Callithrix jacchus: one gene and its partners. The protein of the gene in region 1 interacts with the protein of each later gene in a pairwise test. Links are inferred from orthologs where the notes say so. Each region holds a gene or a part of one and is shown on either strand. Other genes may lie near its edges. The genes, in order: NDN, P4HA3 and FAM131C.

Region 1 (4,475 bases):
TGATATTTTTCTTTGGGCATTGCCCCTGGAGCCCACCTGAAGCCCATCCCATCCTCTGAGGATTACCTGATTACCTCGCAAATCAAGGGCTGCCAGGTCACAGATATCCTGATGGGCAACCCCACCCCCCTCTCCCAGGTGTCTTGTGTGTTTGTCAGAGAAAGCACCTTCACCTCCAACCCTCAGGAAACACTGTTTCAAATCCAGGCTTCACTGCTAAACAAGAATGAATATCACTTTCTTATGTTAATTAATCTCTCCACAAAATATTTTTTTGGCTGGAAATTCCAAAAACAAGATGAAAATTTCTTAATTTACACAATCAGAATAATCTTGCTTTCTCCAAAATATTGTGAGAACTAGAAAAATAAAATTCCTAGCCTCTCTCTCTGTGTGGCCCATGAATGCATGTGAGTGTGGGAGGTGGGAGCTGGGAGTGTGGGCTCCCACGTAAAATGTAAAAATAAGTTTGAAAATAAATAACCTAAAAGCCACAGGGTGTATGAGGGATTGTAGGCAGGTGGGGACAAATGTGGGCTCTGGATTCATTCTGAGTTGAAGTGCCAGCTCCTTCTCTTGCTAACCTTTACAAGCTATGGAAAGTTAATTACCTACATTATTCCTGTTTCCTCCATGGTGCAAAGGCAGTAGATGCCTTCCTCACAGGCCTGTTGTGAGGGTTAAATAAAAGGGGAAAAATACATGTTAGGGCTGAGTACAATGTCTCACTCTTTAAGTGCCCACAAGACATCCATTAATTTTGATAAAATATAGAAACTTAAGGGAAGGAAGTTATTTTTAGTTTTTATTCTCATATGATGTGATGATGGACAATCATACTGCTTTGTTTTTATACTTTATATTTGTGCATGTTTTTGAAATAAACAATTACATTTAAAGACAATAAAACTATAACCTTCACAAATTTAGGAGTAATCACGAGTAGCGATTTTTCCCACCCTATTAGGGGAAACAGTTACATCTGTACACATTGTAAAATAGAGAATTGTCTCATTCCCAATCATAGTGCTCTGTTAAAATGATAAGAGTACACTTTTCCAAAAATGATTGTATCACAAGAATCTTTAATGTTTACTTTAAAGTTGACTCACGGTAGGGTTGTATATGTGTTTAGTAAATTGTGCCAAGTGCTCACATTGAGACCAGTCCAGTTCAAATCAGTTTACTCCACGAGAATGTCTTCTGTGCCCAGCAAGGTCACGAAGAGCCTTGACTTTTCTCTTGGTTAGGCCAGCTTTGCTGGTGAGTTCTTCCAAACTCTGCAGGAGCAGTCTACCCCAACACACATCACCAGTCCCATATAAAATAATAAGATGCAAACTTTCTCAAGGTACTTCGTCAGTTTAGCATGTCTCAGGTACAAAAATCCAAGAAAGGTAGCACAAAAGCGAAAGCACCAACCAAGCTTACATATAAACAAACATGCATACATCCTAAATACTACACAAGAGTACCCAAATGAATACAACATTGCATTAAAGGTATAAAAGCACTGTACTGAAAACTTAAAAGTTACACGTGAATACTGCACTGTAAATCCCGAACACTCTAATGACCCACCCCCACCCTTCCACAGCCCCGGTGAGGGTCAGAAAGCATTTCATCTGCCTCCAGACCTTGCTAGTCCTCGGAGACACTGTTGCGGGGGCAGTGAGCAGCGGGATTAGCCTCCCGCAGAGCTCTGGCCTCCTCCAGGGCTTCTCTGTATCGGGAGGGCCAGGCCTGGGGGTCTTTCTTAAAGACCCTGGCCAGGAACTCCATGATTTGCATCTTGGTGATTTCACGGCTGGCCCGGGAGCCCCAGAAGAACTCATACTCTGGCGGCTCCACGTACGGGACGCGCTGGTACTTCAGGTAATTCTGTTGGACGAACTCCTCGGTGATGAGCTTTCGCACGTCCCCGAAGGTGGAGTGCTTCTTCCAGGGCCGCAGCCCCAGGATGCGCAGCACGTTCCAGACGGCGCTCTCTCTGGCGCCGCGGCCCTTCACGTAGATGAGGCTCAGGATCATGAGCAGGAGGCCCGTCATGGGCATGCGGTTGCTCAGCGCCACCCTGTCCAGCTCCTCCGGCTCCAGCGCTTTGACCAGCGCAAACTCCATGGTGTGCAGGCTGGTCAGCCTCAGGTGCAGCCCGAACACCCGGGCGAGGATGAGGCTGGTGCGCCGCAGGATGCTCCTGCACCACTTCTTGTAGCTGCCGATGACATCTTTCACCATGTCTGGAAACCAGATGATCATCTTCTTCTGGTCCTTGACCAGCACGTACCACATGAGCTCGTGCGCCTTCTGCACCAGCTGCGCCGGGGCGGGCGGCGCCGGGCCGGGCTGGGCCGCGCTCGGGGCCTGGTGGGCGCGGCCCTCCTCTGCGGCCTCCAGCAAAGCCTTCGGGTCGACCTCCTCGATCGGGGCCTGGGGCGGCTGCGCGGCCTGCGGGGCGGCCGTCGGGCCTAGGGGAGGGCTCTGCGGCTCCGCCAGGGTCGCGGACGGAGGAACCCCCCCCGGAACCCCAGGGCTGCTCTGCGCCTCGGAGCTGGGTGCCTCGGCGGCAAAGCTAGGGTCGCTCAGATCCTTACTCTGCTCTGACATGTCTGCGCCGTCTGGCAAGGGCAGGGCCTCTGCGTCCAGGAGCTCTTCGAGCCTGCGCTCCCTCCGCGGACTCCTGGAGAGGAAGTGCGCGTTGCTGCGCGCGGCGCCTTCCGCAGCGGCGGGCAGGGCGGGGCGGCGGCGGGACGCGGCACTGCGCCTGCGCGACCGCGGCCAGGGCGGGCGGGCGGCCGGGGGCGGGCGGGGCCGCGAGGGGCCCCGACGGGGAGGGTCCGCGGTGAGGCGTCACCTGGCGGGACAGCGATCCCGGGGTTTCCTGTTCCGGCCGAGGAAGTTCAGGGTAGGAGAGGAGGGAGATGGATGCCTGTGGAGAAGGAGCAGGTTTTGGGGAAAGATGATAACTCAGGTTTTGGGGATGCTGGGGTCGACTTTCCTGGGAAATGCTCGCCTGGGTATATCCAGAATCCAGTTAAGTATGAGAGCCCCAGAGGAAGGTCTGGGAGGCTGTGCAAACTGGAGCTTTATGTGAACGAGTGAGAGGAACGGTCGGGCTGTCCGAGAAGACGTGTAAACTGTGAGGCGGATGTCCGAGGTTGGAATCCTGAGAAATTCCAATAAAAAGTTGATTGACTCCCTCCCTACCACATCAGAGGGGTTATAAGGAAAGGAGAAATGCGGTTATAAGGAAAGGAGAAATGCAGCGTGTCGTTAACGTGATTTCCTACCCGCGTGAGCCGTGAACTTGTTCAGGAGGCAGTGGGCTTAGACCATCATTGATGCTTTCATGGGCATAGGTTTGGCTTTTACACTTACTTTGAGTCACTTTGATTCCATTTTCTTTTATTTTTCCATGCTTAGTCCATAACAGAAGGATTGCCATATCTATTAGCACAAACTTGTATGATAATGCATTTTTCCCTCTGCCCAGCACCTCATTCTCCGATTCACCTTCTCCCAGGACCTTCTCTGAAGCTACTGAGTCCTCAGTGTTGGGAGTCACACCCAAATCATTCCTTCCTGAGATCTCCAAAAAGATATAGGTCCCATGGGCAATATCTGGCGGTGTCTCAGATGACCAAAAGGTAGCGGGGGCAACATATGGATAGCCCTGTTTTCCAGTTATAGAAAACAGATTCCCAGTGGGCCAAGGCAAAGCTGTCACTCCTAGAGGCTGTCCGTGGAAAAAGGGGCATTGCTGGAGCCTCCACAACCAGGGGCCTCCATGCTGCTTCAGCATCCTTGGTCTGCGTTGATGTGGTCCTTCAGCCCTTGCCGGGTTCCCTCTCATCAGCAGCTTCTTAAATATGTTGTCTCGAGTCTAGTTATTGCCACTTGAAGCCCAAAGCATGTTTTAAAATTGTCTTGACATGTCTAGAGTCCTCACTATGAGTATCTATCTTTTCTCATTTGTCACTTTAATTTTCCTCAAGCAGGTTGGTGTTGAAGGGTTTTCTGTGCTTTCTCTGGTTGGGTTGGCATGCATGTGACACTTTTGACAGGGCCATTCCCACGCCAGTCCCTCCAACAGGACTCTTTGGTCTCTTTAGCTTCCCACTCCACCAGGGAAATTCATAGATATCAGTCTTACTTGGAATTATTTCAACACTTTTCTCTTCCTCCTCCTCCTCCACCTCCACCTCCTCTTTCTTCTTTCCATCTACTTCTTTTTCTTCTCCTTCCCCTATTTATGGATATCTACCATTTTCTTGGGAGCACCTTACAGAAGGGTGCCAGTTTTGCTCCTTGTTTTTAAGAATGCCTCTTGAACAGACTTATTGTCCCCATGCTTCTTAAATATAATTGTCATTTCTTGCATTTAGATCTCTGTCACTATTCTTCTTTATGTTGTTTGGGTAGGTATTATTTTCTCAGTATTTAAATAAAATATTTAGACCAGGTGCGGTGGTGCA
Region 2 (4,132 bases), on another chromosome or scaffold:
GAATCCCTTGAACCAGGCAGGTGAAGAGTCCAGTGAGCTGAGATCCCGCCACTGCACTCCAGCCTGGGCGACTGAGCAAGACGCTGTCTCAAAAAGAAAAAACAAAGAAGAAGTTTGTTGACTTTTGGGAAGTTAACAGTGAGAAGAGGCTGGGCGGAGTTGCTCATGCCTATAATCTCAACACTTTGGGAGGCTGAGTTGGAAGGATCACTTGAGGCCAGGAGTTTGAGACCAGCTTGGGCAATATAGTGAGACCCTATCTCTACAAAAACAATTATTTAAATTAGATGGATGTGATGTTGTGTGCCTGAAGTCCTACCTACTCAGAAGGCTGAGGTGAGAGGCTCGCTTGAGCCCAGGAATTCAAGATTGCAGTGAGCTGCGATCATGCCACTGTGCTCCAGCTTGGGCAACAGAACAAGATCCTATCTCTATTAAAAGAAAGGGGGAGGGGAGGGGAGAAAAGTTGTCTCCCTAAAGGGCAAGACTCCTGGAAACATACAGGATAGGACAATATGATAAAGCTGTGTGCCTTAATTTTTACTCCTCATTCACTCATTCTGAATATTCCTCATTCAGAAAATTGTATTAAGTATCCACTCTGTGTCACAAAGACAAATCCAATTTGGTCTCATTAAATGAACAGGTGGTCATGCCTTACATGTATTAAATGCTCACCACTTGTATCTTGAATGGCAGGTTGATGTTTTCACTACTTTTATAGCTCTGAAGGATGGCTATGAGAAGGTGGAGCAAGACCTTCCAGCCTTTGAGGACCTTGAGGGAGCAGCAAGGGCCCTGATGCGGCTGCAGGACGTGTACATGCTCAATGTGAAAGGCCTGGCCCGAGGTGTCTTTCAAAGAGTCACTGGCTCTGCCATCACTGATCTGTACAGCCCCAAACGGCTCTTCTCTCTCACAGGGGATGATTGCTTCCAAGTTGGCAAGGTAATAATATTCAGAGAGAGGGCCAATTGCTTGGCTATAGTTTCTTATGGATAAAATAACTATGTTCCGGTTGCTTTTACTTCTTTCTAATACTTAAACTTGGAAATTTGATATCATTTCCATTTTCAGAGAAAGAAAACAAGATTCAGAGAGGGGAAATAACTTGCCTTAAGATTACACAATTTTAAGTGGAGAACTAAAGCTTGAACCCAGTCTATTGACTCCCAATCTCAGGCCCTCTCTGTAGTAACTAAGGTGATTATATACTTAGGACACTCTTGAGACTGAAAGGGGTGTTATTAATTATGCTAGGACAACAGACATGAACTGGGGAAAACAGCCCTTTGGTCACCCTGACTATTGCACCCTGCCAGTGCATGAACAGATGGTTGAAAGGGAAAGCAGGGGGAAGGGAGGGCAAGGTTGGGGAAAAGGATAAGAGATGATGGTAGAAAGGTGGGATCATGGAAACAGCCTCCTGAGACTTTCTGGAATCCAACACAACATTTCCTAAGAAATACAAAATTAAAGTTGTGTCCAAAATCTAAGGCCATTCACTTTAACATTACTTGAGTAATTAGACTTCAGGAAATGCCCCCATCCCCATCTGAGTTATTTAACTGATCTTTGATTGTAAGTTGTAATCACACTTGAGATCATTTTATAATATACTCTTTGCCAGCCTTTGCCTTAAAAAGCAACGGAGCAAATCCTTTTTAATTTTGAATGTTTATTTCAGTAAGGGGTATTTTTCCTGACTCCTACAGTATTCATCACCAGATCTTGGAGTGGGTCTCATGTGTCCTGATTCCAGGTTTTGGGAGTCAGTCTTCCAAATTAAGGCAGAGTGGGTTGCTTGAGTCTCTCTACATGCTATTTTCTCTTTTCTGGGATCTTGAGCGGAATCAGAGCTCAATTATCATGTTCATGGCTGATTTAAATTTAAGCCAGGTAATATAGTTTGCTGTATGGTACTAACATATGCTTCATTAGTGAGGCCTTTCTGAAAGTAAAACCGTATGTTGAAAATGTAGTAAGTCACTTCCTGAAAGTCTTACTGGCAATCTTTCTTTCTGTATTTATTTACTTATTTTGAGACATAAAACTTTTCAAATATAAGAAACGAACATAAAATAATATAACAAGCAATTATATCTATTATTGTAATGAATATATATTCAAATTTTGCTTTCTTTCTTTAATATTTAAAACAACACGTTTCATACAGCTAAAACCCCACTCATCCTCCTCACTACTCACCACCCCATCATCCTTCTGCTGCATCCTTGCCCAGATAGCCACAATCCTGAATCATATAGTATGTGCCCTTCTGAGTCCAGCTTCTTTCACTCAGCACATTACATCTATGGAATTCATCCATATTGTGTCATTTATTAGTAGTTCATTTCTTTTATTGCTGAGTAGTATTCCATTCTATGAATATGTCACAAACTACTGATCCAGTTTTCTGTTGACAGATTCTTGGATTGCTTCTAGTTTGGGCTACTGTGAATAAAACTGCTATTAACATCCTTTTATGTCCTTTTATGGACATTTATTCTTATTTTCTTAGATGAATACCTGGGAGTGGTATTGCCAAGTCACAGAATAAGCTTCACTAATTATCAACACATGGCCAAATTTGTTTCATCTATACTTCCCCAATTATTTCTTCTATAGATTATTTTAAAGCCTTTCTAGTTTATGAAATTCTTTTTCTTTTTCTTTAGGGTTTTGCTCTGCCATCCAAGCTGGAGTGCAGTGGCACAATCAAGGCTCATTGCAGCCTTGATCAAAGTGATCCTCCACCTGGGAAGTCTTAAGTGATCCTCCCACCTCAGCCTCCTGAGTAGCTAGGACTATAGATGTGCCTCCAGCTAATTTTTAGTAAGGGTCTCACTATGTTGCCCAGGATGGTCTCAAACTCCTAGCCTCAAGCGATCCTCCTGCCTAGCCTCCCAAAGCACTGAGATTACAGGCATAAACCACTCCACCTAGCCTATCTTCTGAAATTCTTAATTGTCTAATTCTGTCATCATACTATTGTGTCTGTTGATTCTTGCTCATGATAGATTATTTCCTAATATAATTTGTCGTGTTTGGGAGCATATTTTCAGCAGGACATTTCCCCCTAAGAGAATCAATGTGTCCAGAGTTGTAGGAATATCCCTCCAGAGACTTTTGGGTTTTCTTCTTCCTGAAACTCTGGTGCTATCACTGGCCTTAGATATATTTTTATATTTATTTATTGACCTAGGAGTTCCTTGACCATATGAATATTGCAGATTTAATCCCTATACTCATATGAAGTAGAGGCTCAAAATTGAGAATATTCTTACACAGAGCTAGGCAGAAACAAACAAATCTTCTTGTCTCATTAAGCCAGCAGGCAAATTTTTTTTCTGGTCTACTTTTTATTTTAAGGTTCGGTTTTTTATAAAATCTAGTTTCATGAAGTTGTCTTAGTTTCAGTTCCCGGGCTTGGGGCAAGTCTAAGGATGGCTCATCTTCTATCTTCAAATGGGCATTATAATGCAAGGTTACTGAACACCAAGGTTACTATGAGTAACACGCAGCACCCATCCTAGGGAACGTCAGCATCTGCTCATAAGTTTATGGTTTGGGCTTTTAGCCCTTTTTGTTTCTGGTACCTGATACTCTCTGTTTTTTCCTTGAAACTATATAATAAAATGCTTTTTATAGTTTATTCAAAATGTCCGAGTGTTTGTATTTGGAAGGATTCCAGTTGTTTCAGTCTACCGTATTGCTGGGACTTCAAGTTACTCATGGAAATTTTAAACAAATTAACTTGGCAGGAAAAGTTCAGTCATTTTTAGCATTTTTTAGCTTAACCTTTTTACAAACAGGACTTGAGGTACAGAAAAAATAAAGCAACAGATTAATGGCAGACCTGGAGGAAACATGATTTATTATTTAGTCTGCAGAATTGCAGTATCTCTAGGATTTTTCCCTATCAGGAAGTTATACCCTAATTAGATCATTAAGAGTTCTTCCTAGTCTGCCACTTTACAGTTCCATGTGGTCTCCAGTATCGACTTCCAGGAAATTCTACTTGCAGCTCTGGTATTATAATTAACTATAAACTATGAAGAGACAGGAGCTATGTCTGGTAATGTTCCCATGTTGCCAGCATTCCAGAATTTAATACAGAACAGATCCATTG
Region 3 (4,716 bases), on another chromosome or scaffold:
TTGGGTACTGGTCTGAGTGCCTTATATGAATTAAGCCATTTAGTGCCCCCAGCAACCCTATGACACCAATTTAGAGATGGGAACACAAGGTCAAGTCACTTGCTGAGGTCACAGAGCTAGTGAATGGTGGAGTCCTGGTTCATATCCTCTCTGTCAAGTATGCAGGAGCAAACTGCTGCCGATGCTGGGATGGGGTTGTTCTCCCAGTTGTGGCCTGACCTGGGGTTTGGGGTTTGGCTGCATGGCCCCAGCTGGGTGCAAGCTCTGGGCTCTGTTATGGGCATCAGCCTGAGGCCTGCAATCCTTGCCCTTGGCCAAGGGTGGAGGTACTCCCTCCACCCTTCCTTCTATAGCAGTGCCCACCTGGCCCAGCAGGCACTCAGTGCTCAGAGGCTACGATTAGCAATCAGTTGCTGGTGCTGGGGCCAGGTGGGAGCTCAGGAGCCCACGGCAGCCTGCAGCTGCAGGAGAGTAGACAGGTGCAGGCAACAGGGCCGAGGGCTGGCTTCGAGTGCAGAGACCGAGGCCCCAGGCTGTGGAGTCAGAGCACCATGGTTTTAATCTTGGTTTATACCTTCCTAGCTGTGTGACCCTGGTCAAGTTACTCCACTGCCCTCTGCCTCAGTTTTCCACTTGTAAGATGGAGACTGTGCTCATATATAACTCAAATAGCTTTAGCTGCTTAAAACTTTCAGATTAGTATGCTTCGGAGAGCATCAGTGACAAGGAGAAAGCTGGGCGGGGGCAGTCAGTGGTGCAGCCACCCAGTCTCTGGGACCCTGGCTGTCCTCTGCCCACGTGGCTCCCCATACTCCTTTCACCTCTACCCAAATCTCCTGGGTGCATGTCGAGACTGTCAGGGGCCTGGTCCTCTCAGGAGTGGGACAAAGCTGGACCATCGAGTCAGATCTGGGGGACACTGGGGAAGCCCAGGCTGCAGAGGAAGGGTGGAAGGAGCGTACCTTGCCTGCTGTGGCCCCAAAGAACCCTGGAAGAGGGGCCGGTGGAAGGAACCCCAGGTGTGGGGTCAGAGGACCTGGGCCCCAGCCTCTCAGGGTGACCTTAGCAGGTATCTCTTCCTCCCTGGCCTCTGCCCCGTGCTCAGTGGGTCCTCAGCTCACAGGCCAGTCCACCTGGGCTGGGACCCCAAGGCACCTGGCATGGGGTGGCCAAATGAAGGGGAAGGGATGTGACCACTGAAGAAACACTCAGATTCCCTCAATCTGGAGCTGGTCTCAGCCAGAGACTGCCTAGAACCTTTGGGGTTTCTGGAGACACCCTCAGACTCTTGAGGGCCTAAAGAACCCCCAGCACTCCTTACTCTTCAAACTCCCTTCCCCACCCGCTAGGCTGGGGCCTCCTGGACCAGGTGCTGGGCTGGGTTCCTCGCTGCTGGATGTCCAGCGTGCACACACTGCCTGGCACATGGTGGGCATCATGTTAATATCAGCCTAATGCATGGATAAGTAAAGGAACCTCATATAGTCCTTATACTCCCAGCAGGGGGTGTGTGGCTGCAGGGATGAGAGCACAGCATGGGACCCTGTTGCCTTCCGGGCTGCAAATTGGGGCAGGGATGCCTGCGGTGACTGACCTCTGCATGCTTGATCTCTGTGCTGCCCCCCCCCTGCCCCCCGCGCCCCCCGGCCGTCCCTAGCCCTGTCTCCCTCAGGACACTGCCTGCCCAGGGGTGCGGCCGGGCCATGAAAGGCAGGGAAGTTACAGTGACCTTGTACCTTCCCATTCCTCACCCATGATCCCACTCCTGACATCTCCCAGAGACATCCTGAGCCACTTACCTGAACGCTCACAGAAACTCCCAAGCAGAAGCCCTTAGAGTCCAGAGGATGGGGGAAGGGCGTTGTGCTCCTTGCTCAACACCCCCAGGACAAGGTCCCCTCTATTCCCGATAAGCTACTAGGGGTAACAGGTGTGGTGGTGATCCATGGGTTTGGCCTCAGCCTACAGGGCCTGAACCAAGGCCAAAGCCACCCCGACTCCCAGCCACACCCCCTGATCCCACTGTGGGGTGAATGGACCAAGGTTGGGGAAGGGCTTAGCCCAATCGCTGTCTAAAATGCTGCCCAGAGGTCTGTTGGAAAGTTGGTGGTGGTGCTTGGGGTGGAGGAAGGGGGTTCCAAAGACCAACCTGCCCATCCCCCAATCTCTGTGCAAGACTCTGCATCCCCTCCTCACAGACAGAAGGGGCCGGGGCCTGCCCTGTGACCCCAAGCAAGGGCAGGACCCTCCACCTCCCTGGGTATCATCTGGGGGAGAGTGCAGGGTGGCAGGTCAGACACAGAAAGGCCCAGGGGTAACCGGGAACATTAGCTGAGCTCTGGCCCTTCGGTCCCCAGACCAAGAATGGGGGTGGGGAGGAGGATTAGGGATAAAGGTTGGGGCAGGGGAACCTTCTAGATAACCTGTGCCCCACCATTAACCCTTTCCTGCCAACAGGGCTCCGGGGCTCTGCAGATGGGGGTACCCGGTAAGGTGTGGGGAGGGGTGGAGGGGGTTAGCTGGTAAGGCCTGTGTCTTGGGGAGGGGTGGGAGAAGAAGGGTCTGCTAGTTCTCCGGGTGCCCCACAGTTCCTCCAGTAAGCCAGGAAGAACCGGAGCCTCCCTCCCCTCCCAGGCACCCGGCAGGGGGTGTGTGGCTGTAGGGCTGAGAGCGCGGCGCGGGACCCTGCTTCGTGTCACCTGCAGGGCTGCGAACCGAACCCGGGTCACCGATGCGGTGACCTCTGCACGCGCGCTGTATTGCCCCCGCCTCCTACGGTCTCCAGCCCTGTCCCCCTCAGGACGCCGTGTCCCCGAGGGTGCGGCCGGGCCGCGAAGGGCGGGTCGCCAGCTCCATCCCCCAGGTCTCCGAGCGGCGAGAGGACCGCGCGGGTCCCTGGCACCCGATCCCCCACCACCGGCCGGGCCCCCTCACCTCGCGACACGCAGGAGCCCATCACGGGGCCGCGTGGCCGGGCCGCTGTCCCCGGGGTGCGTGGGGCCGCGGGGCGCTCATGTCTCCGCGGGCCCGGGGCTAAGCGCTGCGCAGCCAGAGGACGCGCGGGGAGGGGGCTCGGGCGCCCTCGGCTCGGCCTCCGCTCCCGCCCGGGTTGTCCCCGCGGCCGCCGCGCCGGGCTCGCCTCGCGCCGCCGCCTCCCGCCCCGCGCCTGCCGCCGCCAGGGAAGGGCGAAACCGCGGGGCGCGGCGGGCGGGGCCAGGGGAAGCGCAGCCGGGAGACCTGGGCACACCTGTGGCCGCGGAGTGCGGGAGGACCACCTCTGTCCCTTCGGGTCTCCGGCACCTCCCTGAAGGGCTGAAGGTCAGGGAAGGAGACGGAGGGGGCGGGGAGACTCCTGACATTTGGGGCACAAAGTAAACAAGATGAATTTAACCGCAACAGCGACAACTGGGCACGAGGGCTTGGGGGTTGGGGAGGGGTGCGCACAAGAACAACAGTTCCATTAGGCCCATTTTGCAGAGGGCGAAAGTGAGGCTTGCAGAAGTTAGAGGCCCTGCCTGTGAGCCCTAAGCTATGAATTTAGCGACTTTTGACTGTCAACACCTCATTCAGAGCTGTTGAAATTAACATATGCAAAATAATACATGCCCAAAGTTGGGGTAGAGAGTGGGGATGGTGCGCTGGTGGCCTGGGATCTCCAACGCGATGGTTGAAGATGGGGGCAAGGCTGCCTCTCAGGGCTTGTCTAGGGCAGAGTAAACTGAGGCACGGGTTTTTTCCCCAGCACTGGACGACCTCTGTAGTCATTCACATTGACACACACGTACCTATACACACACTCTCCCATGTGTACATCCCCCTCATTCACACACTGGTGGTCATACACACACACACATATACACACACACTTGCATTATATACACAAACACACACACGTGAATACACACACACTCTCCCGCGTGTACATACCCCCACTGACACCCACACAATGACAGAGTTATCCACTCACATTTATGTATGCTTGCATTTACACACACACACATCCCAGTTCCTGAGGTCTGAAGATCCTTTAGCAAAACTTCCCAGTGCCAGTGTCTGAGACCCTCACTCACACATGGTATCTCACTCCTTCACGCTCACCTGTGCACCAGGCAGGACAGCCACTCTTGTGTCTGTTTTCCAGGTGAGGCAGCCAGGTTCACTGGTTTTGGCAGAGAGGGGTTTTGAAGAATGAATAAGGAGGGGCCAGCGTGGTGGCTCATGCCTGTAATCCCAGCACTTTGGGAGCCTGAGGCAGGTGGATCACTTGAGGTCAGGAGTTCAAGACCAGCCTGGCCAACATGGTGAAACCCCGTCTCTACCAAAAATATAAACAATTAGCTGAGCGTGGTGGTGCATGCCTGTAATCCCAGGTCCTTGGGAGGTCTATGCAGGAGAATCACTTGAACTTGGGAGGCGGAGGTTGCAGTGAGCCGAAACTATGCCACTGCTTTCCAGCGTGGGTGACAGAGCAAGACTCTGTCTCAAAATAATAATAATAATAATGATAATAATGAATAAGGGTTGAGGCAGCAGCATGGGGTGGGGATGGAGGCCTTTTGAGGGGCAGGATCTGGGCCAGGGGGTGCTACCGGGACAATTGGGCCAGGGAGTGGCTGCTGACTTCTTTCTCTAAGCCGGGTGCTCTCTGTCCAGTAAAGTCTGGGTGGAGAGCAGTTCTGTGCCTGGCCCTGGTGTCAGCAGACTTGGGTGAATGAG

Evidence for each region.
Region 2: the proteins of NDN (region 1) and P4HA3 interact in a two-hybrid assay, tested with the Homo sapiens proteins (2 studies listed by BioGRID). The link is inferred for Callithrix jacchus from reciprocal best matches to the Homo sapiens genes NDN and P4HA3.
Region 3: the proteins of NDN (region 1) and FAM131C interact in a two-hybrid assay, tested with the Homo sapiens proteins (2 studies listed by BioGRID and IntAct). The link is inferred for Callithrix jacchus from reciprocal best matches to the Homo sapiens genes NDN and FAM131C.

Annotation. Positions count from the first base shown.
Region 1 is NC_133507.1:5,529,374-5,533,848, reverse strand, and holds NDN (necdin), read right to left. Parts: upstream 2,696-4,475; 5' UTR 2,608-2,695; coding exon 1,642-2,607; 3' UTR 796-1,641; downstream 1-795. UniProt on the Homo sapiens protein: Growth suppressor that facilitates the entry of the cell into cell cycle arrest.
Region 2 is NC_133511.1:66,649,086-66,653,217, forward strand, and holds part of P4HA3 (prolyl 4-hydroxylase subunit alpha-3), read left to right. Parts: intron 1-724; coding exon 725-948; intron 949-4,132. UniProt on the Homo sapiens protein: Catalyzes the post-translational formation of 4-hydroxyproline in -Xaa-Pro-Gly- sequences in collagens and other proteins.
Region 3 is NC_133508.1:53,397,920-53,402,635, forward strand, and holds the start of FAM131C (protein FAM131C), read right to left. Parts: upstream 3,196-4,716; 5' UTR 2,957-3,195; coding exon 2,935-2,956; intron 2,812-2,934; exon of another isoform or gene 1,800-2,811; intron 1-1,799.